Linked DNA regions of Drosophila melanogaster. The protein of the gene in region 1 purifies or fractionates together with the protein of each later gene. This does not show direct contact. Each region holds a gene or a part of one and is shown on either strand. Other genes may lie near its edges.

Region 1 (13,742 bases):
ATAAGCGCGGTATCGATGCAGACCAGAAATGTTTCCACTTAAAAGAAAAAATACGAATATTTATATGTTTTTATATGGGCGTGGCAGTTTTGGGTGGTTTGTAGACGTAATAAAGAGACATCAGGAAGAAACCTGAGCTGCTTGCATAATCTTAACTTTCCAGCATTTGCTCTGACGAGCGTTAGAGTGGGTGTGGTAACATTTGGAAACAAACTTGCGTCTACGTCTCTAGAAGCTGCATGCTTCATCTCAATATTCTAGCTTTTATAGTTCCTGAGATCGAGGCGTTCATACGGACAAATGGACAGACGGACAGGGTCGGAACAACTCGGCTATTGATCCTGATCAAGAATATATATACTATACATACGGAAACACTTCCTTCTGCCACTTACATACTTTTCAACGAATTTAAAATACCCTTTACTCCACGCGTAACGGGTCTAAAAATGGGTAGAACTATTATTGACTAACATAATTAGAAAACGCGTTAAATCTTCAATCTTACATTTTTTAAATTAAAAAAAAATTTTTTTTTTTGAGCATGGTCTAAAAAAGATAAATGCTTGCTTATATTTCATTTCAGTGGAGTACGTCTATTAAATGAAACAACACTTTCGATTTCTCTGGTCATATATCGATAGATCCGTTAAGCCGAACCGGCTGGCTAATTTGTTTACCTCTTAAACTTAAACTTTAAAGCTTCTTATTCTACCACAATCAGCAGGACATGGAAATAACACTCGCTCTGATAAAGCCGCACGTGCTGCGGAATACCTATGCAATGCAGCAGATCCGAGCCCTGATCTCCCAGAACTTCACCATTCTTGACCAGAAGGAGGTTTGCATTACGAAAGAACTATCTGAGCGATTTTACGCGGAGCATAAGGGAAAATTCTTCTACCACCGACTAACCAGTTTTATGAACAGGTTCGTATAGTGCCTGGGCACATCCTTAAATCCTAAGCCACTTAGTTGGTATAACCATTTGGTATATCTTCTTCAGCGGACCCAGCTACGCCCTGATTCTCCAGTCGGAAACCTGCATCCAGAAGTGGCGCAGTCTTCTGGGTCCCACCAAGGTGTTCCGTGCCGTGTACAGTGATCCCAACTGCATCCGGGCATTGTACGGAATATCCGACACTCGCAACGCCTGCCATGGATCCGACAGCGAGGCATCCGCCCTCCGCGAGATCAGCATCCTGTTCCCGGAGTTTGACGCGGCTGTTGGGAGTCGCCAGGCGAAAAGGGAGGAGGCGTAGTCGAGGAGTTCTTGATCCTTAGATTGATCAAGATGTCTACTACCAAAGCAGTTCATGAAAAATGTTTACATGTTGTTCAAGTAGCTATTGGAATTGTCCTAATTTATGTTTCTTATTTTTAATGCCTGGCATTTTTAGATTAGTATTTAGGCTAGACTAGAATGTTGTCATATGGTATGCTTTAAAAGTAATTGAAGTTTATGATACTTTTTGTGACTAGTGTACTAATATGTTTATATATTTATATATATATATTAGCAAAACAAAAACTATACTTCTTGTTGATAACTAATAAGAATTAGATGATTAAGGAATTTGGCAATGTTCTTTCGAAAGAAAAATCGCTGTAATAAAAGAAGTCAATTGAAAAGTTAATTTTTTATGAAGTTACTAACAACACCCTGCCGTAGATGGAACTATGGCAATTAACTTGAGATAACAGCGACATGTGTTTCAAAAACTTTATTTCGTCAATTTCCGGTTTACATAATACAATTCTTTTGTTATTAGGTGGTAGGTACATGTATAGATAGAGATTTTCTTTTCGATTTGCTCTGGTTTCCGTTTAGCTCATTGTAAATAGTTGGTAATAAAATTATAAAATTTATAAACTTAACAAATTATATAAATATATATATATTTATGTGTGGGTAAGTTCTGTAGTACGCCTATAAATAGGTAAAGATATAAATGTTTTGTATATCGGTTCAGACAATTGAGAAGCATAGCAAGAAATTCAAAAACGGGAAATATGTCATTAAAAAACTTCAAAATTCTTGTATTTTGTTTGCGAGCGAGACGGCACCTGCGCACCTGCTGTCTTTTTCTAACTCGTGTGCGACGAGTCCTTCACGAATAACAGAAAACTAATGTAAAGAAAAAAAAATGGCATTTTATGTATTTATAATAATAATAATAAAGTATAACCGTCTCTCTAAATCTAGTTCTAGTTTTGGTTGCAACGATTTGTCAAAGCAGACACAAGTCGCAAAAAAATGTATTTAACAAGTATCCATAGTAGTATTTACGTTTGCTTCGCTTTCTTTTATTTTTATTTGTTTTTTTTTCTATTTTTTTGTTTGAATTTTCTCATTGTTTGTTTTCTTTACCTTACTTTTGGTATCAATTACAAATCTTTAATGCCTATTTGCAGTCCTACGAATTTCACACGCGATCCCCGACCGCCAGGTGGCGCTCTAGTCGCACAAAGTTAGAAACATTCAGTTTGGGATGTTTGTATTTAGCATTTGTCCTCTTTCTTTCGTTACCATGTTGCTTTTGCATTATTATCATAACTATGATCATTCTCCATCACACACATATACTCGTACATATATAAATATTGCTATTCCAGCCGATCTCTAGATCGGGGCTAACTCGTAAATAACGCCAGCGAAAAATCCAAAATGAGAACAAACAAGGATATTTCGAAGCTCTGCGGCGAGTGTTGACTTTGGTGGGCACTGTACGGATTGGTGGTGTCATCGATTCCTGGCGGCACTGTACTCAAACCTCAAGATCCCATCATGCCCAGATAATACTAATAATAATAGGTATTATTTATGGGGCCTGCACTTCGAGCCGCTTGGCAATGATATATATTCGACTATTTAGGTGTGTGTTTTCTTTTTAGTTGTTTCTGTCATTTGTCTTGATCTTTAATTAATAGAACACAAAAATATATGTATATATATAGATTTGCTTTGTTGTTGTATAAACGTACGTACGTATCGACTATGCAACTTGGCCTATGCGCGCTACATAAAGATACAAATGTATGTATCCACACTAAATATCTGTATATTCACATATAATCTTTGAATATAACCAGCTCATAGCATAAAAAGACTATTTCAAATAGTTTTTATTACTCTAGCACTACTTTGTCAACGACAACGTCAGTATATCAATATAGGTTGCTCCTAACACACTCTCAACCCCCTTTTGCATCCTGTCTATGCTGCACTCCTAATATATCATATCCTTGTTTGTAATAGTAATTAAGTGAATGTATTTGCTTCTCGCTCTCCGAGCTTGTTGGCCTCCCGTTTGAAATCTTGAGCACTTGCCGGGTATCCCCTTCACTCGAACATGGCCATCGATGAGGTGGGCACCACCTCCAGCAGCAGCTGAAAGAATAGCGTCACCTTGTCTGCAAACAGAAGAACGTTAGCGTTATGAATTGTAATATGATATCTTTTAGTTTACTCACTCATAAATCTCGGCGTCATTCCGAGCTTGACGAACGGCACATAGAAGATCAGGCCCGCGAATATGAAGAGCAGGGCATAGAGATACTCAACGCGCGGTGTCTCGAATATTGGTGCCGCCACGAGATACACGGAGATGACCAAGACCACAACGGGAATGATGATCGGCACCTTGTAGGGCCGCGGATAGTTGGGTTTGGTGTAGCGCATCACGATCAGGGCCAGCATCGCTCCGCCGTAGAATATCCAGGCGGTGAAGCTGAAGAAATCAATCAGCGAATCAATTGTGCCATGGAGCACCATTGCCGAGGCAATCAGCGACTGGAGACGGGGATAAGTACGCACAGAGAAAGATACAGAGAAAGAGGGGAGTTTAGAACGAGGATCGGATCGATACATGGGCATTCACAGGTTTTGTCAAAAAATTAAAATGTGGATAACAAATGGATTGGCGGTAGTAAATACAAAAAAAAAAAAGTGGAATATTTGGGTCTGCTAATATGATGGCAATATGAAGCAATTCGGGGTAAGCTAACTAAATTTTGGGTCAAGTTTTAGACACTTACGTGGAATATCAGCCCCGGAGCAGGTGTAAGACGACGCACATGGACATAGGAGAGGATATCCAGCAGATGACCCTCTCGACTGGCCGCAAAGCACAGACTGCAATGGCAGTAGAACAGATCATAGATTATAATGGTGGTTCCGTTCCCGACACATATAGTTCAGAAGTTCTAAGGTCTTCCTTTTTAGCTTCAAGTCAATCCTTACCGCCCAGCTGCGAAGAGCGTTCCATTGGCGCTGCCAAAGGTGCTGATGGTGACGCTGAGTGGCATCAGCCAGGCGAGCGCGCCCAGGATGCGATTGCCGAAGGTGACGGCCACCGCCTCCGACTCGATCATCTCCTGCGGCGACATGGCCGCCAGGTAGGAGATGTTGATCAGCGCATAGCAGAGCGTGACCAGCGGTATGCCGATGATGATCGAGCGCGGTAGATTCTTGCTGGGATTCTTGATCTCCTCGGTTACGTAGTTCAGGTTGTTCCAGCCATCGTAGGCCCACAGACCCGTGTAGAAGGCCGTGGCGATGGCGCCCACATTGGGCATTGGGCCATTAAATGCATTCGACAGATGCTGCGTGTTGCCCTGCATCAGTTTCCAGGCTCCGCCGCAGATCACGACCACAACGGCCACCAGTTTGGCGGCGGTGAATACGTTCTGCACGGCCATTCCCAGGTTGACGCTGTAGCAGTTCACGAACAGGATCATCACTGTACAGTGGAGAGGGTGAATCATTAATATTCATTGGTATGTTAAACGATATGGTGGTTATAGGGATCAATACCACATAGAATTTAAAGTAATCTATCTTATTAGCTCGATAGCTGTGGTAGTGATCCCCTTTCCTCCGATGTTACCGCTTCTTACCAATTGCCACCAGGGCGACCATCTTGACCACACCCCTGGGCGGATCGCATTCCGTCACAAAGGCCTCAACGGCGTACTGTGCAAATGATAAGCATATTATAGCCATTTGAGATGGCTTCAACACCAAAGTCGATACCCATGAGAACAGAAACGCCGGCGCCGGTCCATAGGCATCCATAAAGTAGGCCCATTCCGCCCCCGACGACGTGTTCATCGTGCCAAGTTCAGCGTATGCCAGAGCGCCTGAAAGTGGGCAATCAAGGATAATTAGACAAAGTTACAAAGGATAAGCATCTATAAGTAAAAACTATATATGTAAGGATGAGGCATATTAGTATTAAGTTGCTAAGTATAAGTATCTTATATTTGACCAATCAATCAACTTTAATTTTACATTTACTTTTGAAAACGAGTAATCAACCAATGCGATGATTATCATTGGTAATCATAGAAAGAAATAGATCTTTATATTTTTTTTCTTTTTATGATTTTAAAACTAGAATGCACTTTTTCCGAGTGTATAGTGCACGCGATTGGAAGGTGTGAGATTCCGCGAAAGTTTGGCTCCTCGCCAGCCGTGCAACAAGTTGTGACGAGAGTGCAGGGTCGAATTTTGGGACTTGGCCACTTGACGTCGTTAAGTGGGTCAGTTGCACGTGGCGCACATTTCGGGCAGGAGGGGATTTTATGGTTCTGGTGACTACTTACCCAGCAGAGAGAGCACACCACAGGCAAGCCAGATTATAAAGCTAACTCCAACGGAACCAGTGCGAACCAGTAAACCGGAGGGTGACACAAAAATTCCAGACCCTGTGGATTGACAAAAGGGAGAAGATATAGATACAGAATATAGATATAGATATATGTAGCTGCGAATATAGATATATGTTGATATAAGTAAAATGCTGCCACAGCTGCGCTTCGGAAAAAACAGCTGATTAAGGGCCCACATTGTTTTCCCTACTTTCCCCATCGTTTCGATTTCCCGTATGCTAATGAGCGGCTGGCGGGGCTCTACATAGTACATATATACCATTTGAGTGGGCGTTGCGGACGTCATCAGTGGGCGGACAAAAGTTTCGGCGAAAGCTCCGACCACGCGGCGAATGCGCAATACCGGCAAATAGTGGTTTTTCCTTGCAGAGAAACTCACACAGAGGTTGTATGAGGCCGGCGAAGCGGTATGGAAAAAATATATGAAGTTCGTTGGATATTCGATCCAGAGGCGTGCAACAATTTCGGCTGCGTGCCACAAGCTGGCGCCATTGCCTAAGGTCAAAGTGCAGCAGCGACAACAGACGCCATTCGTGTCATAAATATGTATTTCAATACAGCCCAGTTTTGAAGCCAAATACAGCAGCGTCCCAATTTGTAGTGATAACTGGGCAGAAAGTATAATTGCCAATACTACGCTTTTATATAAAGTGATCTATTTTGAATTACATATATTTGTGCTATTAATTAATTAATTTCTTGTTTTATAAAGATTCAAACAAGAGATGTTCTTTTTACCAAACACTAAAATATACAAATATACTTTGATATATTACTGTGATTGACCACCGCTGTATGGGGTCCAATTTTCTAGGGCTGCCCTTTTCGCCCCCTAAAAATATGCCTGGAAATTGGCCTTAATCCACGCCATCCTCCGCACTCCTCCCACCAGCCGTCTGATGGCACTTTCATTCTCAGGCCGCTTGCGTACCCATCTACATATATATCCATACAGACAGACAATACATACATACACATATATATATATAGGTGGGCCTAAAGCTGTGTATATGTATATGTACTATGTGCATATACAGTATAATTCGCTTAGCTGCATCGATAGTTAGCTGCATCGGCAAGATATCTGCATTATTTTTCCATTTTTTTGTGTGAATAGAAAATAGAAAATAGAAAAAAAAAAATTAAGTTAGCTGCATTTTTAAGTTACCTGCATCGAGGCATTGTGCAAAGTACTCGAGGCAGCTAAGCGAATTATACTGTAGCTAAATTTATGCGTACGTATTTTTGGCCATGCGCGTCTCCAATTTGAACCAAAAAAAAAAGGCAAGGAAAATAAACCGAATGAAAATTGTGCCTCAATATTTTTCACCGACTCCCAGAGCGAAAGATGTATTAAAAAAAAAAAACAAGAACGAACGGAACAGCAAATTTGACACAATCCGTGGAAAACTGCGTGTTCGTGTGTTTTTTTGGGCGACACTTTGGATTTTCTCTTTTCCCGTCGCTTCGACATTCCTGCCTCATGTTTTATGCATTTGTTTTGACAATTGCTTTGGAGCGAAGCATCCCCGAATGGATTGTACACTCACCTATCATAGTTCCAACAATTAAAGCCACCCCACTGAAGAGGCCCAGCCTGAAATGACAAAAAAAAAGAGAATAATATTGTAAATTCAACGAAATTATCAAATAAATTAAAAATACTGCTTTTTGGGGTAGATTTTTAAGGTAAAGACATGATTTCATCACTCGAATCTGCATGTTAAAGTCAAAAGTCGATAAATATTGACGGATGGATGTCAAAAATAGATCCGTGTACTTGTTAATTTTGAGTATGTTAAGTAAATCACTTAATTGACAGCAAGGTGTAAATCAAGTGAATAGCGCGTTTTTAGCCAAGTAAATAGAAACTGTTTACGTCTACACTGAAAACATTTGGTATTTACAACAAGGCTAGAAATGGCACTTTGTCTTGTTTGCTTTAATATGAGTTTTGATCATTAAAGTAAGCCAAGTGGCTTGTCATTTATAACTTATGTTAACAAGCTAAAAAATAAATGAATAAATGAATAAATAATTCAATAAAAATGAATAAACTACTTGAAAATTGAATTTTAAGCCTACATTTTGACATTTAAATACTCAGAAGAGCAATCGCCTTCATTTTTGGAATCAATTGAGTAGCATTAATGTCCTATCCTAACAACCTGACCATTTCGAGTACACGATTCTGGTCCTGCTGCACTGAGGCAATCGTTACCTTCTCTCGAGGTGAACAACGTGGTTCTGCGTTGAGCCATTCCTCTCCAGCGGCTTCCGCATCCGCCCGGTCCCTGATGAGTCGGTCTCTGGCGCTTCGGGCCCTTCTGTCCCAAGAGACCCATTGGCGCACATGGTCCCGTTGCTCGTTGTTTTTGTTGGCACATTATGTCCTGCAGGATCAGCAACATCACCATATCACCGCGAAGGATAGCAAAAAAAGAGAGAGCAGAACACAGGGATTAGCATTAATCGTAGCACTAAAAAAAAAGTATCACACGCATAGATATGAGTATTTCGATGCCAGAAGGGCACGTTTTTTTTTTGACGTGTAGACAGAGTTTATGAATGGACTTCACACAACACACGCACACATACACACACAAGCACACACACACACACACCTCTGTTATTATCTGTTGAATTATTTTTGCATGCGTTCTTTTGCAAGCAAAATAGTTGTGATATTTTATCGCGCATGGCATGGACGGATAACAAGTTGCTAAAATTATTTCGCCGCGAAATTCAGCTCTCAGCGAATACGAATATATATGAAGAAATATATATATATATATATTTATATATATAGTTAAGAATATATATATAAATGTTCTGAAAGGAGTGCGGGCCAAAAAAAAGTGTAGCGCAGTGGGCGGCGAATCGCAGGCAACTGTTCGCATCCCAAATGGCAGCGGCGTCAAATAGTCCGCCCGGTGAAAGCTTTCCGCCGAGAGCCACATGAGCGCCACACGAGTGCCACACGAACGCCACACGAGCGCCACACGAGTGCCACACGAGCGGCAGCCGAGCGCCGGAAAAACAGCCGAACAGACGAAAAGCGAGAAAAACGACCGGCGTTGGGAGAATAACTAACCACTTTCTCCAAACGAGATTGCGTTCGAGATTCGAGATGAGTTCGACTGGTTTGGGCCTTTGGCCGTCTCTTATATCACACTCATCGAGGATAATAATAGTGCTCGAAGGACGAACTTAACGATATCTAGACGTAAATGCTTTTGATAACAGGATAAAATATCACACTAAAGAATAGTATTTTAGGTAAAGGGGGTTTTTGAGATTTATATCGAGGCTAACAACAATAGAGAAGTGCAGGCCAACTTTCTTATCGATGGAGGATGTAGCAGTAATGTCACGAAAATATTATTGTACAAAAGCTCTCAAATCTTCATCGCCATCAAAGTGCAACAAAAACTCACGTAATTCCGAATGAAAGTTTGAAATTAAGTCCTGCTACAGTGATAAGAAAGTATTATGAAATATATTATTCTTCGTAGTGAATATCAGCCTTAACCAGCATTAATGGTCACTTTTTATCAATGAAAGTTAACTCCATTTCAGAGATATAAGAATGAAAAATTTAAAGGAATGCAACTTTATGAGAAGGTGTTAAGATTTCTTTGGCATTGTTTGGAATTGTTCAGCAGCTTTTCTTTTGTTTTTCACGCTGACTACGTGACACACTGCGTATGTATGTATGTAGAAGAGTCCCATCCTTCCGACTGATTTATGCAATTCGCGCCGTCGGTTCTATATTTTGATTATAGAATTGTCAAGGTGAAGGCATCTTCTCTCCTCGGATCTATCTCTCGGTCCGCCCAGCTATTTATAGCTTTGCATAAAAATTTCAAATTGAATTAGTCGGCTAATTTCGCGGCGACGTCAGAAGGTTCTCGCCACCGATCAGAATCTGCAGTGTAGTAGCATCATCTATCTCTCTGTGGTCGCCTCCATTCATCGGCTCCTCTCAATTAATTGTTGGTTGCGCATTTCATTTGCCTCAATTGGCCGCTTATTAATGGTCATGTGCTGTGACTTCGTTCGCAACACTTTCATATATATATATATGTATGTATATAGATGAAATTATATATATATGTACAATATATTGCATGTATCTCACTCCCATTAGAAGTCTGGCTACAACGTCACTGGGTCTTTAACTCTCGCCCACGAGGCGTCGAAATTTCATCAGCCCAACGACCGCGTGTACGTACATAACACTCTATGTATGTACATATGTACATACACATTCATAGTTTCAAAGTTCTCCCACTATTTTTCGGCTTGATTCTGCCACTGGATGTGCCCCCAAAAATCGTATATGTACGAAGATTGTGTGCTGAACAAATAGATATCTATCTGCACGAGCATAAATATATTATACGTATCCAAAGATTTGAATACACACGCCATAGTGCCTACGTATGCAGTCGCGCAAGTGGGCCAAAAAATTAGCAACGATTTAATTAATTTAAAATATTGGTTCGTTTTTATACAGATCGAATTTCTAGTTTATGAAAAATTCGCAAATCTCCAAAGAATTAAAAATGATAAATGATTATGGGCCAGCAGTGCGTATACGTAATATATATCAAGTATACGTAATGTTGCCAGTATGGAACAGTTTTAGTGGGTAGCTAATATTTTGAAGATACGAACTATTGACTGAATTATAAATCTTTAACTTTTGATTTGGAATACCATTTTGCAATATATATTTTTAAGCGCTATTCTTTCGACTTTTAGTGTTGGTATAAAAATAAATAATACACGTCTATACACACAATTTTTGTATATATAGCCACATAAACATAAATAAACGATTCCTACGTTAAGCTCTGTGTCGTTTTTCAGCCTCTGCAGCTTCTTCTTGCCCCGCATTTTTTTTCTCAATGTATTTTCTGTCATAAAAGTCACGCGGCTTGTGAGCATTTTCGGATATATTTTTTTCTTTCTGTTTTTGTTGATCGCCCGGCAAAGGGGGCGTGGCAGGCGGAGAATGGCTGAACCGGATACATTACTTGAAGATCTTAGCCAGTCAATAACTAAACATTGCATATTTGCAAAGGGATGGGAAAAGTAAACACATAACCCAATCGTTCATTAGATCGATCACTTAAGTATTATTCATTTATTTGCTGACATAAATATTCAAATAATAATAGTAATATTAAGTTCTTGGCACTAAAAACAATAGTGCGTTACTGTATAATTTTATCATTAATATTTGTATTACTCATACGCAACGTGGTACCATGGGGAAATGCATTTACAATTAAAAAAAAAAAACCTAAAATAATTGTAAGAAATCATATTATGAACTATAATGAAAAAACCTACCCAAAGACTATCCAACATACTTTAATTTAGCTAATGATTTTCTCGTTTATAGTTTTCATCAAGATGCGAATACAGCCACTTGGCAACCAGTCAGCGATATTAGAACCTAATAGTCAATTAAAACGGAACACGAGCCAGACTCAAAATACCCCTTTTCTGAGCTCGCCGAGCAGTTAAGTGAATTCCTTGCGTTGTTTTATTGAATGTGATTTCGATTCAGTAACTCGACGCACCAGATATGAAGCGCCACATCAATTTAGTGTGTGCAATATGACTCCTACGGTCATCATGTGGAAATCGAAAATAACTTAAACTCAGTTTCTCCCAAAAGAAGAAAAAAAACGCGAATTCTTCAGCAAATTTAAGAAATTTTCATAAAGAAGAGAAAAGAGATTGATAAAGCCATAAACATTTAATACAGAACCAATAGCAAAATGTTAGACATATATATCTATAATAGTGCACTTGTAGAGTGATCACTGTACTTCGATTAGGCCGAACAAAACCTACGACCAGCAATGCACGTAGACTGCGGATATTCGCGATATTTCTTTCGTATTTTTAGGGGTCGAACATTGTTTGGGCTTGTCGGCTGATTTTCGTTCGCTAATTATTTAGTCACTCTAATGCAAAAAACAAACTGCAAAGATATTCGAGTAGATAACACCAGCGGCTGACGTGCTAGCCAAATGTCTAGCTAGCTAAAATAATAAAATATCATTATCGCTCAGCAATTATAACCCACCTGATTACTAATAAATCAATTTAATTTTCGTAACGTCAGTGCGAATAATAAATCATTTTATGTCATAAAATTAAATGCTTCTATGGAGCTCATGATTTTGAGATTTGCACATTTAAATGAACATTAATCTAATAGCAATAAATGACTTTATCAGAACTGAATGGGTTTCTAAAACAACTTGCTATCCCAAAGATACTGCAAGAAAAGAATTCTCTTAAATAGCCAAATGATTACTATCAAGGGAAGCGAATTCTTTGCAGCTTTGGAATTTATTCTATCTATAGACGAGTTAATGTAAATATTTTGGTATTTTCTTCTGAATATTGTTTAAGAAACGAGGTGTTTACCTTCAACAATGAGGCGGTGATTAGGTGTTATATCTATATTAGCTAATTTGTCATAGCTCTATGCTATTTTTTTTTCTCAGTGTAGCGAAAGCAACTCCAGAGGAAAGGAAGCCGTTGTTGCCAACGTCAGCGGCACTAAAATGAGTAATAATCACGCGCTGGTCAGCCAAAAATTTCTGGGTCGAAGAAAAGCTGCTCGTCGTGCAAATGAATATTTCAAATATGCAAAGCAAAGCTCGGCGGGGAAAGTTCATGCATCTCAATTGGCCGGTGGCCAAATAAAAACGATTTTCCTCTGTCGCCGACGTCGTTGGTAAATATTTTCAGTTAATTTTGTTGCGATTGTCGCGTCAGAAATTCTTGAAATCCAAATGATCGGTCGAGGGAACAAGGACATCTCACCCCTGCTGATCCTGATTCAAAGTTCAACGAACACAAAAGTTGCCAGTCCATATAAGGCAATGGGAAAATCTAAAGCATTTTTAGAAATTTCATTGGAAAGATAACATTTTGTTAAAAGTTGAATAGCACCTAAGTTATTTTGCGAGCTCATTTACAATGCTCTTTTTATTGGCGGCATTATCTTTACCGAGCTGACATCTCAATGAAGTGAAAATTTATTCGAATTCCGCCACTTGTGGAAATTTAATTTCAACTAATTGTTTACTTATTTGCGTTAGCGTTGTTAATTAAACGAGGCATGAAAAGTTCCATCTGCTTGTGTCGCAAATTCGTTTGTGCTAATTAGAGCACAATATGTGGATTGATTGATCGAATGTCCGCGCCTCACCTTTTGACACTAGTTATTGACCAACCACGGCTTCTGCGGCTTCCATTTCGATCCCCTCCATTCTCAACGAATCAATCAAAGAACTTGGCTACAAGTGTTTGCTTAACCCTCGACTGACACGCGAGCCACAAATGCGCCCGAAATAAACCACTCTCCATTCGTTTAATTGATTTATTCTGTATCGTTAGACGTGTCCCGTGTCCCGAGTTCCAAGTCCCGACAACAGTGTCAATGGCCCTCTCCCAGTCCCAAGTCCATGTCCAAAATTCACAATTCTGTTGGCCACTTCTCATAAGCAGAGAATCGGGTTACACGTCGCCACAATTCACAAACAGAAATGGTAATAGAAGAATATTACGTTATTATTTCACTTTTTTGTGCACTTTTTTATTCATTCCCAACACCTTTAGTGGTTTTATCGCTGGCCATGAAACTTTTTTGCTGATAAATCAGGTGCGAACCAGTTGAAATCTAATTGAAACTTAATCTGCGACTAATTTTTATTGCTACTCAAAAAAAAAAAATGGTGCAAACCGGTTATAAACCGATTTTGAGTGGCTTGTGTGGTTATTTAATAACACCAAATAAATTGATAATAAATAATTACATAGGTTAATAGGCTCAGCAGTCTATCTTATACCTTTTGCAGTTCTAGCTGCAACTTTCCATTGTTCGCGTTATCCTGCCGCGCATAAACATCCGAATCCGCTTATGAAATGCTATTATTTCAATATATGCTGTGCTCCATTTGCGTCAGCCATGCCCACCTCTGCCATCTCCTGGTCGTCAGCCATACTCCCCTGCTCCATATTGTTTTATTGGATGC
Region 2 (11,860 bases), on another chromosome or scaffold:
ACCAGCAACGGCCAGGCCAACGGCTTCCACAACACCTTCTCCAAGTTCACCACGGATATGTGCAATCCGGCCCTGAACTCCTCGACGAGACAGCGTGTGCTCGTGAACGCCGGCAACAAGTGAGCGCCGCCAGCCAACCAGCCAGCCAGCCAAACATGAAACACACATAAGCATAAATTAATTACGCTACCAATTAAAATACCGTACATTTAAATTAAACGTAAGCATAGGGAGTCCAAGCCTACATCTAAGCCAAATCGAATTCGCACCAAGATCAATTGAAGACAAGGAATCAAAAACATTATTTCATGGACAATCCATGGTGATCGCACGTAAGGATCACAAATCGCTGGCATACCGCTGTCCATCGATCATTTCTTAGCTACAAATATATCCACATTTAGTCCCCAACACTTTCCGCATCCAGTCATCCATGTTCATGTACATAGATCGTATATAGCTGCTGCTAATTTAGTGGTACGGCGTTCATCTACTTTTAATGCTTAAGTACACCCTTTCGGGGACGTGTATTTCCGCTTTTCGTATCTATCGCTCAACAATTTTGTATTTTTCTTTATGCAAGCGACGCTTTTTAATACGTGTATTTTATTTCTATGGATTGTTTTGAACAAAAGAAATGTGTTTTTATTTTATAAATAAATTCGAGATTAAAACGTAGTAAATAATCTTTTATTTCTTATTCCTACATTGATCATTTTTGAAAAAATTATGTTTTCTTTCATAGGGGGATGTTCTACAATAAAGATAAAGAAGGTAATAAAGACTGAATGATTTTCCTTCATTTATTTGATTATCATGAAAATTATTTAACCCATTTTTGTTAAATTTGGTGGCGCCACCTTGAGATCGTCGACAGAACTATAGTGAGCCCAGTTTTTTACATACATCTCCGACTTACACACAAAATAGAGAAGAATACTTTTAGGGTTCACAGTTAAATGAAATGTCAGAACGATCACCAACGTGTAAAAAGTTTTAAGTTCTACCGATCTTATAAATATTTATACTTTTTTAAAATTTCGATGTTTTTATACGGAATGCTGAGTATGATGATATTGTTTTGAACAAGTTAGAACCATACATTTGTCTTAGTCATGACAAATTCAGCTATGCTGAAAGTCCTGGAGTTCTGAGATATATTAAATTATTTTCCGCGGACAAATAGAAAAAACAGATACCCGTAACTCAGCTACTGGGATAAAATTCAATATTTTCTTCGTGCTAGAGAGGACGTGGTGCTCTAGAACAAACTGACGGCGCACCAACATCTCCAAAATCTTATTCTTAACTTTCTAACTTGTATAGTTCTTTTATAATTTATCTCCTTTGATACGGACAGAAAGGAGTACGGACGGTCGGACAGGACTAAATCAACTGGGCTAGGTTCTTGCTGATCGTTGGTTTCCAATGTTATACTACGTTTTTGTAATTTATCTAATTTATCAAACAAATTTCAAACAATATTTAATATTCACCTGTGAAGCCTTGGCCCATGAAAATGTACATATACATCAGAATTAAAAAAGGTTCAACAAAAAGTTTAATATCAAAAGGTATTTGACCTTGCATCGAACTGATGTGAAGTTGCCACGCCTCCAAAAGAAGTCAGAAAAACAAAGTTGACTTATTACAGGAATAGTAGGCATGTCAGGTCATTATGGTTAATGAGAAGATGCATGGGCATGGGTATGTAGACCTTCTGAAGGTTCCTCACAAAATGCGAACCAGCAGAACGGACTTTATGCAAATTATTTACCAATACTTTGTTGGCAGTAAGCAGACAGGAACACGGATACGACGCCATGCATAATTATTTCATTACGACCTAATGAACAGCTTCCGATCGATTCTCATTACCTAGGGCCTGATTTGTGGTAAAATAAATTGCCAATATTAGCCTCAAGAACACGATCACCGAATACTGAGAAGTGCCTGCTTCCAAAGTTACCACATTTCTAACCGAGATGTATTCTTATGCAGGCACTAGCCTGTGGATGGACAAAGCACTTTAAAAACAACATAACTATATTATTAGGACCTTTTAGGTGTCGTATACAAAGAGCACTAACTGAATTAGTTATGAACCACGAAGCGGAAAATCGAAATTTTGCAAAGCGAAAAAGATTTCGAGATCAGCAAAAAAAAAAATCAAAAGCAATTCGATCGGCAAGCGATTAAGATGGTAATGTATTGCCTAAAATCGTTGCCTCAGTTAAATGTATTCTTTTTTAGCGTCACTTTACCGTGCTAGTATCCTGCATCCTGATAGTTATATTGCCATGCGTGTTAGGGGCTCACAGGACAGCTCTCAAGAGTCATTATAGAAGCTTTGTGAAACCAAAGCAGAATGTCATACGGGCTAGAACCAATCAAACAACACAACTTACATTAGGAGACTATACGGAAAACTTTTATAAACACTGCATGGATATTTTCAAAGAGAAAAACTTGGTTGGTAAAGTGATCCATGGCATGATCAGTGGAATTTTAGACAGGCTCAATGAAGTGTGCCTCGACAAGCCCATTCACCCACTTATCCACAAAGTTTTCACGGAAATCCTTCTCTGTGGCGGAAGCATGTCGGATGCAATCGATAGCGTCATTGACATATTATTTGGAAATTTGGAAAGAAATTGCAGGGAGAGGCCTGGATTCAATAGCTATTATATTTTAACCAGTGCGGAAAACGAAATAGTTGAATCAAAAGGTTAAACAACAATCTGAGAGCTTATATATTGATGTAACCAAAATAAAATAATTAGGGGTAGCACTAATACCTCTTATAAGACAATATGTTATACCATGTCTTAATATAATGTAAATATTACTACAACGATATTTAAACAATGATTCTTTTAAGAAACTCAAGAAACCAAACTACATCCAAATATTATTCACTTGTTTAAGATTCACTATGCAGATACAAAAGTCAAATCAATTCCGGTCCAGTTCCTTCAATGGTAGTCACATTAAATTTGGCTCGGCTATTCGTTCTTCTCGACGGCAAACAATTCAGAGCCAGGGGTCAAGTTTTTCAGAAATTGCACAGATCTTGCGAAGCGATCGCCCGCTGCATCCACGCTGGGAAGAATGGCCTCCAAGAGAATGGGGACTACTTGCTCGCCTACGGATTGAAAAAGCTCAGCGATCTTGATTATGGTGGCCGGATCTGGCAAACCTGGAATAACCGCTCGAGCCGATGGCGTGTTGTCCGTATTCACCTCGCGTCGTCTGCGTCTGCTTTCCTCGGAATCCTCGACTGTTTCCTCGGAGGAGGAGTCATCGTCGTCTCCATCGTCATCGCCCTCCCGCTTGATCACCACCTCTGTCTCCTCGCCAGCAACTGTGATCACATCCTGATGGCGGATTGAGTTATGCATGTTCGAACTGATTATACTCGTCAATCACCTGCGGCCTGGCCTGCGTTTGGGTCACCATCTGAAGCATCACCAGCAGGAATCCGGAGAGTAGCAGCTGTCGTCCCATGTGAAAACCCATTTTGTCAACTTGGTTGGGGCTTACGCACCGGCCTGCCATATATATAGCTCCCAGTTAATAGGCTAATGACACTTGCATGTCTCTTAATCGGAAAAAGATAATATGCAGGGTAATGCAGCAATTGGTCAATTTTGGTGTGGCCCAGCTAAACCAATTTGAGTTCTATTCGGCAACCTTGTGGAGTCGGCAGACTCTGACTCTCCAAACACCCGGCAACTCAGCATATTTGGGCCTGGAATGCGCCGACGAGTGCAGTTTGCTCTGCGCTGGTGGCTGGCCACAAAACCCGGTCCACCAACTTGGCTTTTGGTCAAGCGAGAGAGCTCAGGTAAGCTGCCACGCAGACAGGTAGTTTTTTTGGGCCCGGCTCAATCTCAATCGCCGCGAGCCATAAATCGTACTTACGCACACGGAACGCGTTTCTTTCACAGGTATAATTAAATCAAACTCGAGGAGCGGTTCGGATTGGGGCTGCGCCTCTGGGGGCGATGCACTGCCAGAGCGAAACTGCAACTTTAGTTGCGAATCAGACCTCTTATTGGGCAGGTCACAGTGCAAAATACAAGCCAGTGCCAAATATCTCATTTATTGTTTATAGTTTTATTAACAGTCTTTCAAAAAAGCTAAGGGTATGTGTACATATAATATTTTTTAGTGTGTGCCAATACATACCTTGTTACAATGTTTTATATTTATTCGATCCCAATTATCATTATATAATTGTGAGCTGTAACTACAAATGAATTGGTATAAAATTACAATATTTCTTTAAGAGCTTACTTCATCAGAAATACATATCTTCAATACAATACTTAAGTAAAAATTGGTTTTGGGCTAGTCTGTTTGAAGCACAGTAATTTTCATTAATATAAATTAAATTCTTCACTATCTCAGGAAATCACCACTGCCATGAACCTATTCTCGCGCTTGATACGTTTGGGAGGTGGGGCCAGCAAAGTAAGTACATTAAATTCAAATATCTCAGCATTTTAAGTGATTAAAAATATTGCAGAGCTCCGTTACGCTACCAGCTCCTGGTGAGTTTTTCTAAGCTAACAGTTCAAATTTCCCGCCAATCAGTTTTGTAGCAACGAGCATCTGTAAGACAGCGTAAGTAGGCACTGAAAATCGCCGAGGTATTTTATAAAAATATGGAATAAGGTATGACCGATGGGTAGATTAATTCCTGGTAAGCCCGTATTCAATCTATAAAATATTTTACATACCACACAAACGAGGCATTTGTAAGGAATTCTTCACCGCGTTCATTTCGCTAATTCTTGCTGCGGTCTATTTTAGGCGTATGTGATAGTACAATCAACGCAGCTGCTGAATACCCACCCGATTCCACGGAGGTCTACAAAACTATAGCCGAAGATACTTTTGTGGCAGCCAGTTCGAACCCCGAAAAAGGTAATTAAACAAAGAAATTGTGTCTACAGCTGGGGAAAAATGTATGGCTGACGTAACAATGCGTCGAATTTTCACTGGAAGCACTCATGAAAATGTATCTAAGTATCTATATTTAAAAGTGTATATGTGTATTTTTCATGAGTGGCTGGGGTCGTGGTGGGCGTGTGCTTATCAGTACGCGGGAGATAAGAAGAGTATACGGAAAGCGATATCGATTTTAGACCAAGCCACAGGTCCATTTTCCAATGAAGCGCAAACTCGAAGCGTGGCTCGCATCCTGTGACGTCAGCAAGTTCTTCCAGAGAAAATCCCACACACGGAAAACTTCCCTTCTCCTGTGAATCATGAGGAATGTGGCTTCTGATTTCGACTTAACCTTACAAAACCAGCTCGGTTCCCCAGAGAAAGGCTGTTGGCTTGAGATTAACGTGCTTACGCTTAATTGAAACTGATTAGAGCAAATTGAATCATTGTTGAATCATTTACTTTTTAGTCGACATGGTCCAGGATGAGAAGGCGGCCCACGCCGATGGCGCCGACGAACAGATGCTGGGCTCCAACGGAGTGGAGGATAAGCTGGCCGAGCGTCGGGATGAGGTTAAGTTCATCAAGGGCGATCACCAGAACGGAGATGCCAAGATCGACATCGGAACCGTAAACGGAGGCAAGCCCGTGAGTATTAAACATACATACATTTTTGAAAATTAATTTAAAAATGAGAAAGGAAAATAATATATGTAAACGCCATTGGTTAGACCGTTATTTCAAAAGCTGCGCAACTTAAATAATTTAAACAAAATCGCTAGTTATGTACATACATATGTATGTGTGCATGTGGTTATGCTAGAATTCAAGTTACACTTAGTTGAATTTCGTTCTCCGGTTAATGACCTTGGCTTGTCATTCAATAAATATACATATGTATTAATATGTGGGTGCACATGTGCATATATATATATGTGTATATATGTGTGTAACATACATGTGTATTCGCAATTATTGAAATTTATTTGTGCAGTTTTATTGTTATGAAATACTCGTTTTTCATATTACTAATATGTAATTAGTCTCTACTTTCTGCTTTTACCCTGACGCATTTTATTATTTTATAAAATAGTACTTTTAATAATTATTTCTTTTCATTACAGGCCTTCACTGGTATGAGCAAGGAGGAGCTCATGAAGTACGCCAACGACCCTTTCTGGGTGCGACTCCGCTGGATCTTCTTCGTGTGCTTCTGGGCCATTTGGGTGGGCATGCTGGTGGGCGCCATCCTAATCATCATCGGAGCCCCCAAGTGCGCTGCTCCGCAGCCACTTCCATGGTACAAGCGTGGACCACATGCCAAGTTCGCCAGCGTTGAGACCTGTAGGCCAGAGGATGTTCAGGTCGCCAAAAAACTGGTTTCCGCTGGCGCGATTTATGAGCTTCCAGCTGCTCTGACCTACGACGTGAAGAAGCCGGAGGTGGAGGAGAAGATCAAGCATTTGGTGGCTCTGTACCAGGGCAGCGATACCAGGGTTATACTTGACCTGACGCCCAACTACGCGGCAAAGAACTCGCAGCTTGTGCAGGATGCCATTGCAAACCCGGAGAAGAGATCGGCCTTTGTCTGGGTGAGCGGCGGTAAAGCTCTTCCCAACAACTGGCTCAAGGTGGGCGGCAATCGCAGCGCCTGGGAAAAGGTTGGAGACAACTATGTGCTCTCCCAGTTCGAAGACGGGTACTACGACCTCAAGATGAACAGTACCATCATTAGGAACGAGTTCGGAGCAGTCCTAAAGCATCTGGTGGCATTGGGCGTTCGAGGCTTCCGCCTGAAGAATACCAAGTTCTTTGCGCTATTCGATAGCCTCGAGGATGAGCAGATCTCGTCATCGCCGAAGGACTTCAGCCTGGGACCCAATGAATATGGCTTCTACTCCCACAGACAAACAACTTTCCTATCCGGCCTGGGCGATGTGCTCTATGATTACCTGAGCATCGTGAAGAATGCCTCCGACGAGGCTTTCTTCTCGGTTGCCGAAGATGTCATGGAACCACAGGTGTACCAGTTGAGCGGAGATTCTGGAGCATACGGCATCGATCTGCCTATGTACGGAAACTTTGTAAAGGTGCTCAGCAAATCTAAGCCAGACACGTCGCTACAGAAGGAACTGGATAACACACTCGCCCAATCGGGCACGGACAGCTGGCTGCAGTGGAACTTAGCGGACGTCTATGTCGACACCCCACAGGATCCATCTGCTCTGGCCATGTTCCTATCCCTGCTGCCCGGTGTTCCCGTGGTGGCTGTGGATGCTGTGGCTTATCAAAACGTTACCGAGGAGACCTACAGGCAGATCACCTCTCTGCGCAAGACTGCATCCTACATGCATGGAAATCTTAATCTCTACCAGGCCGATCCACTGGTCGCCTTCTCCAGGTAATTGAAGTTGTTTACTTTCTCGATTGTATTTGTCACTAACTTTTGTATAATTCGTTAATGCTTGCCACATGAAGGCAGAGGTAAAAACTTAAACCAAGTGTCCCTATATATTATATATTAGTATTTTAATTTTCGATATTTCTGAATTCATTTATATTCAATCCTACTATAACCTATGCTTAATTTATTAGTTGTGTTATTATGTAGTTAAAAGATTTCAGTTATCTTTTTGTTTTTTTTTTAAACCCATTTTATGTTTTTTCCACAGGATCAAGTCTGGAAACCCTGGCTACTTTGTCATCTTCAATCCCACCGAACTGCCGCAGGCGAGCAACTTTACTATCCCAGACAATCTGCCGGACAAGATGACGGTGTCCTATTTCAGCGAGCAGTACAACAATAACATGGATAACTCCGGAAAGGTTGCTCATGCTGGACGCGTGAATCTCAAGGATCTCAAGGTGGCCCCGCACTCCAGCATTATCCTGACCTATGTGCCAGTGAAGGCGGAGTAATGTGGTAGTACCTGTAACTATCCACCAAAATAAACAATATCGCATAATGGCATATATACAGAAATTGTATAAAAAAGTAACTCGCTTTGTTAACCGTTGAGATTTAAAGCCGCCAAACAAAATTAAAAACTTATTCGCTGAGAACTTTTTAGACTTGCTTGCTTGTTAAATGCGCTTGCTAAGAAATAAATACAATATTTGCTTGCATTTAATATAAACTTGTGTTTTAATGCATATTAGTTTGGACAAAGACCCTAGAATAACAAGATGCGTAACGCCATACGATTTTTTGGCACACGATTTTTTGGCCGTGGCTCTAGAGGTGGCTCCAGGCTCTCTCGAATTTTTGTTAGAGAGCGAGAGAGCGAAGAGCGCTACAGCGAACAGCTCTTTTCAACGCACAAAGTGATAGCAGACATCAGTATGTGTGCACACGTATTCACATGCATTGTAAATTTGACAAAATATGCCCTTCACTTTAGAAGTTCTTTGGCTTTAAATCTATATTATTTTTGATAAATAAATTTCAAAAATGACTTTATATAAGAATATTTGTCATTAGAGTATTCATGTTGCGGCGTGTGAAAAATTAATAAGGCAATTGTTGAGTGCTTGTGTCCGCACTTCGTGCCTCAAGATATGAACAAAGCAAAGACACTAGAATAATTCTATTGTCTTTGATATTACTTTTGCAATTTAATTTAATTGCATATTTAATTATTTAGTATATTTATTAAATCATTTGACTTAATATGATGTAACATTAACATTAAAAGTGTTTCAAAAAAAATATTTCGCTTTTAAAAAATTGTCAGATGAGAGACAAATTAGAATTAAACATAAATATAAATGTGTAAACGGTAGCTAATTCGAGCGGCGATTTTAACAAACAAATTTAAAAAGCTTTAAAATTATAATATTCAGGGCGCGAATTTTTAAAAATTTTTTTATTTTATCATATTGCTAGGAAATTGGCAAAAACTACCCTAATATGTACCATGTAAATTCGTTTCTTCGATCAGAATTGATTTCGGCCCGAAAATCGTCTTCTAGCACAACACGCACACTTATACGCGTTCTCGTCTCTTGTTTTTACTCACACAAGCAAGCAAATTATATTTTTAGATTTCTTACGCTCTCAGCGGGAGTGAGCCGAAAGAGAGTAATTTTGGCCGTCACCAAAAAAGTGGCTGCATAGTGCCAAACCAATGTATGGCCGTTACGCATCTTGTTATTCTAGTGTCTTTGGTTTGGATTAAATTCAATGGGCCTAACATTAAAATATATATTTAAGTATATTAACATTTAACAATGTTTTAAATATCGGTCTGGCAACATCCAGTTTCTGGCAACGCCAGTTTTCGCCAGAATGGCAACTTTATGTAACGTATAATCAAAATTCAAATTCAAAGGTCTTGTGTGCGTTTGTGGACTTGACACTACAACAACATCAACACTACACAATTTTCTAATTTGACATTCTTAAACAAGTTGGTCAAAATGCATCTCTCCTGCTTAAATGTCATACCACACTGAAGAGGAGCAGAACTATTTGGCCTTTGTGGAAAAGTTTAAAGACCTCAAAGAAAACAGCGAATGCATTTGGCATACGTGTGTGGGCCAACTTTGAGATACAAATAGTTGGGGCGAGCTGGCAAAACAAAAGTATGTGCGATGTGTGGGCTGCCAAAGACAAATAATCAAAATCGACAAGCGAAATGAGCCAAAAACAAAGCGGCCAAAATGTTTTTAGTTTGCACAGTCCTCGCTTTGAATGGCAGCCTGGGGAGCAAGAGCTCTCTCCACAAACCTCCTCGCCACTTATGCATGTGTATCACCAAAAGGCCAAAAGGATATGCGCACGTGCTAATGTGATTAGATACACAAACACCAGCATGCTGATGCAGGAAAAGGCGACTTGTTCGAGGAACCGCAACATGCAGTGCAGTTGATTGCGGCAAGCCAGCTACAATAACAAGAAAACTCGACTACCGTGCAGAACAACTTCATTTTGGGTATCTCCGAGATGCAAACTATTGTTGCGCAGGTCATCATCATCGTCCACATCATAATCATCATCACCATCATCATCTGGGAACTGCAAACTTCTCGACCGGTATTCCGCCCCTTCCCACACACATATGTACTTAACACCCACCACCATCCCTGCCAACACTTTGGACCTGGCCTTGTGCGCTGCGAAATTATTTTGTCGCTACAACTTTTCCATCAGGCAGTCATCAAGTGCAGCACCAACCCTTCAGGACAGGTCGACTCCGGCTGACCACTGATTTAATTGCAATGTGCAACACATCTGCTGCGATGTCACCAAATGCGCAGGGGAATGCGTAAAGTGGTTTTTAATAAAGTTTTCACTTGTATCCTGGCTTCGGCCTTGCGAATGATGATGAAAGGGTTAATTGCTCCCCCTGACAATCTGTGGTTGTGACGGATATACATTTTTTTACACTGAAGGTCATAGATGTTTTGTAGGATTAACATTTTGTATTTGGGAAAGTGTGCTTAAGGCTATGGATGTTTTATATGTATATTAATATAAAAAACTTTTTTAAACAACCTTTTGTACATGGATAAGTATCATTAGTATCACTTATTTTATCGCACTATCCCTTTTCAAAATGCAACTAATAAAGTAGGGAAAATTAGGTAGCGGGATTTTTAAAGACCACACACTCGACTATCACGTTCTTAAATGGTGCACATGTACTTGCTGTTGTAATATATTATAATAGCCCAGTAAGAACTTTAATATTCGACTATAATAGCTTTTGTCACGATCTGCACATATTTCACTTACTTTATTTTCTATAATAAACAAGTAATCATGAGCGATAATGCCATGTTTTATGTTGCATGATCAGTGTAATTGCTTTATTAATTGCCGAACGCCGAGCTCTTACTTTGTGTTAATGCAAATTTCGTAATTATATTAAATACAGCCTACGTAGTTAATATATATAATAATATGATATTTAAATACAATGTAGTGCAAGTCACCCCAAATTGAACTATTTCTACGATTAAAACCTTTGCTGGCACATTTATTAGGTGTCACGATATCAGCTTAGGGTTCCTTTGAAGGGCTTACAACGGATTATGGGGCGAATACGCACCAGTGTCAACAACTCAATTCGATGGGCAGAAAAAAAAAAACAGCCAAATGAGTCGGCTAATTTGTATTGATTTTTTATCGGAAAAGCCAACTCCCTTTTTTCTTGCGCCCCATACTTTTTCAGCTCTATGTTGCTGGTGCGTATTTCTGTTTGTTTTGAACTTTCCCATGAATAAATTTTGCATATTAATTGAGCGACTGTCATCAATATGTCTGTGCGCAGAACGGAACCCACCCAATGACCAATGAGCATTCCCTGCGCCAGCCTCATCACAGCATGGCATCATTAGTTGGCCTAAAAAATCCCATCAGGCTTTGATTAACATTTTGTGCACACAAATGCCGGCCAAATGCAAGAGCGTCTAAATGAGTTGCATCTAATTGAGTGACAAACACGCCACGAACAACACAACACCACCGACACACCAGACCCAAGCCCAGACCCAGACCGACAGCAACTGGCCACCTCTCACAAACTGTGCCAATTTGTTTTAAAATGCATCATCCCGGCGCTCAATCAGCTCTGCTCGGTCCAGTCCGGAACTTATCCCACCCCAGGATCCCCCAATGTCCAGTGCCTGCTCTCGACTGTTTTTCAATTTGCATGCAAGCGTAAATTACTCTCGGCTCGAGACCCCTTAACCCCTTCCTGGAACATCGGACCCTCTCCCCGCACGGATTCCGCCCGCTGGTCGGTTAAAAGGTTTGTCCTTTGGTTGTGTTCTATATGCAGATTGCCATCGCTGTCGAGGACTGCTCCGTTCTTGCTCCTCCTTTTGGTGTGCCTGACGGAATCTTGTGCCTGACTGCTTTAAATAACTCTGCGTATCTTGGTTATGAACATAAAACACG

What was found.
Region 2: the proteins of sbm (region 1) and CD98hc fractionate together in Drosophila melanogaster (co-fractionation; one study listed by BioGRID). This does not show direct contact.

The regions. Positions count from the first base shown.
Region 1 is NC_004354.4:14,583,023-14,596,764, forward strand, and holds sbm (sobremesa), read right to left. Parts: upstream 8,570-13,742; 5' UTR 8,374-8,569; coding exon 8,298-8,373; intron 8,067-8,297; coding exon 7,895-8,066; intron 7,271-7,894; coding exon 7,224-7,270; intron 5,710-7,223; coding exon 5,608-5,709; intron 5,143-5,607; coding exon 4,900-5,142; intron 4,743-4,899; coding exon 4,244-4,742; intron 4,136-4,243; coding exon 4,039-4,135; intron 3,794-4,038; coding exon 3,475-3,793; intron 3,415-3,474; coding exon 3,344-3,414; 3' UTR 1,711-3,343; downstream 1-1,710. Other genes in the region: nmdyn-D6, read left to right, coding at 731-930, 1,007-1,262.
Region 2 is NT_033777.3:7,970,634-7,982,493, reverse strand, and holds CD98hc (CD98 heavy chain), read left to right. Parts: upstream 1-4,065; 5' UTR 4,066-4,148; intron 4,149-4,413; 5' UTR 4,414-4,428; coding exon 4,429-4,476; intron 4,477-4,531; coding exon 4,532-4,556; exon of another isoform or gene 4,557-4,629; intron 4,630-4,724; exon of another isoform or gene 4,725-4,818; coding exon 4,819-4,932; intron 4,933-5,425; coding exon 5,426-5,604; intron 5,605-6,080; coding exon 6,081-7,357; intron 7,358-7,434; coding exon of another isoform or gene 7,435-7,440; intron 7,441-7,628; coding exon 7,629-7,875; 3' UTR 7,876-8,085; downstream 8,086-11,860. Other genes in the region: Elovl7 (ELOVL fatty acid elongase 7), read left to right, coding at 1-123; Sfp84E (seminal fluid protein 84E), read left to right, coding at 2,201-2,203, 2,254-2,733; Os-C, read right to left, coding at 3,006-3,377, 3,430-3,519.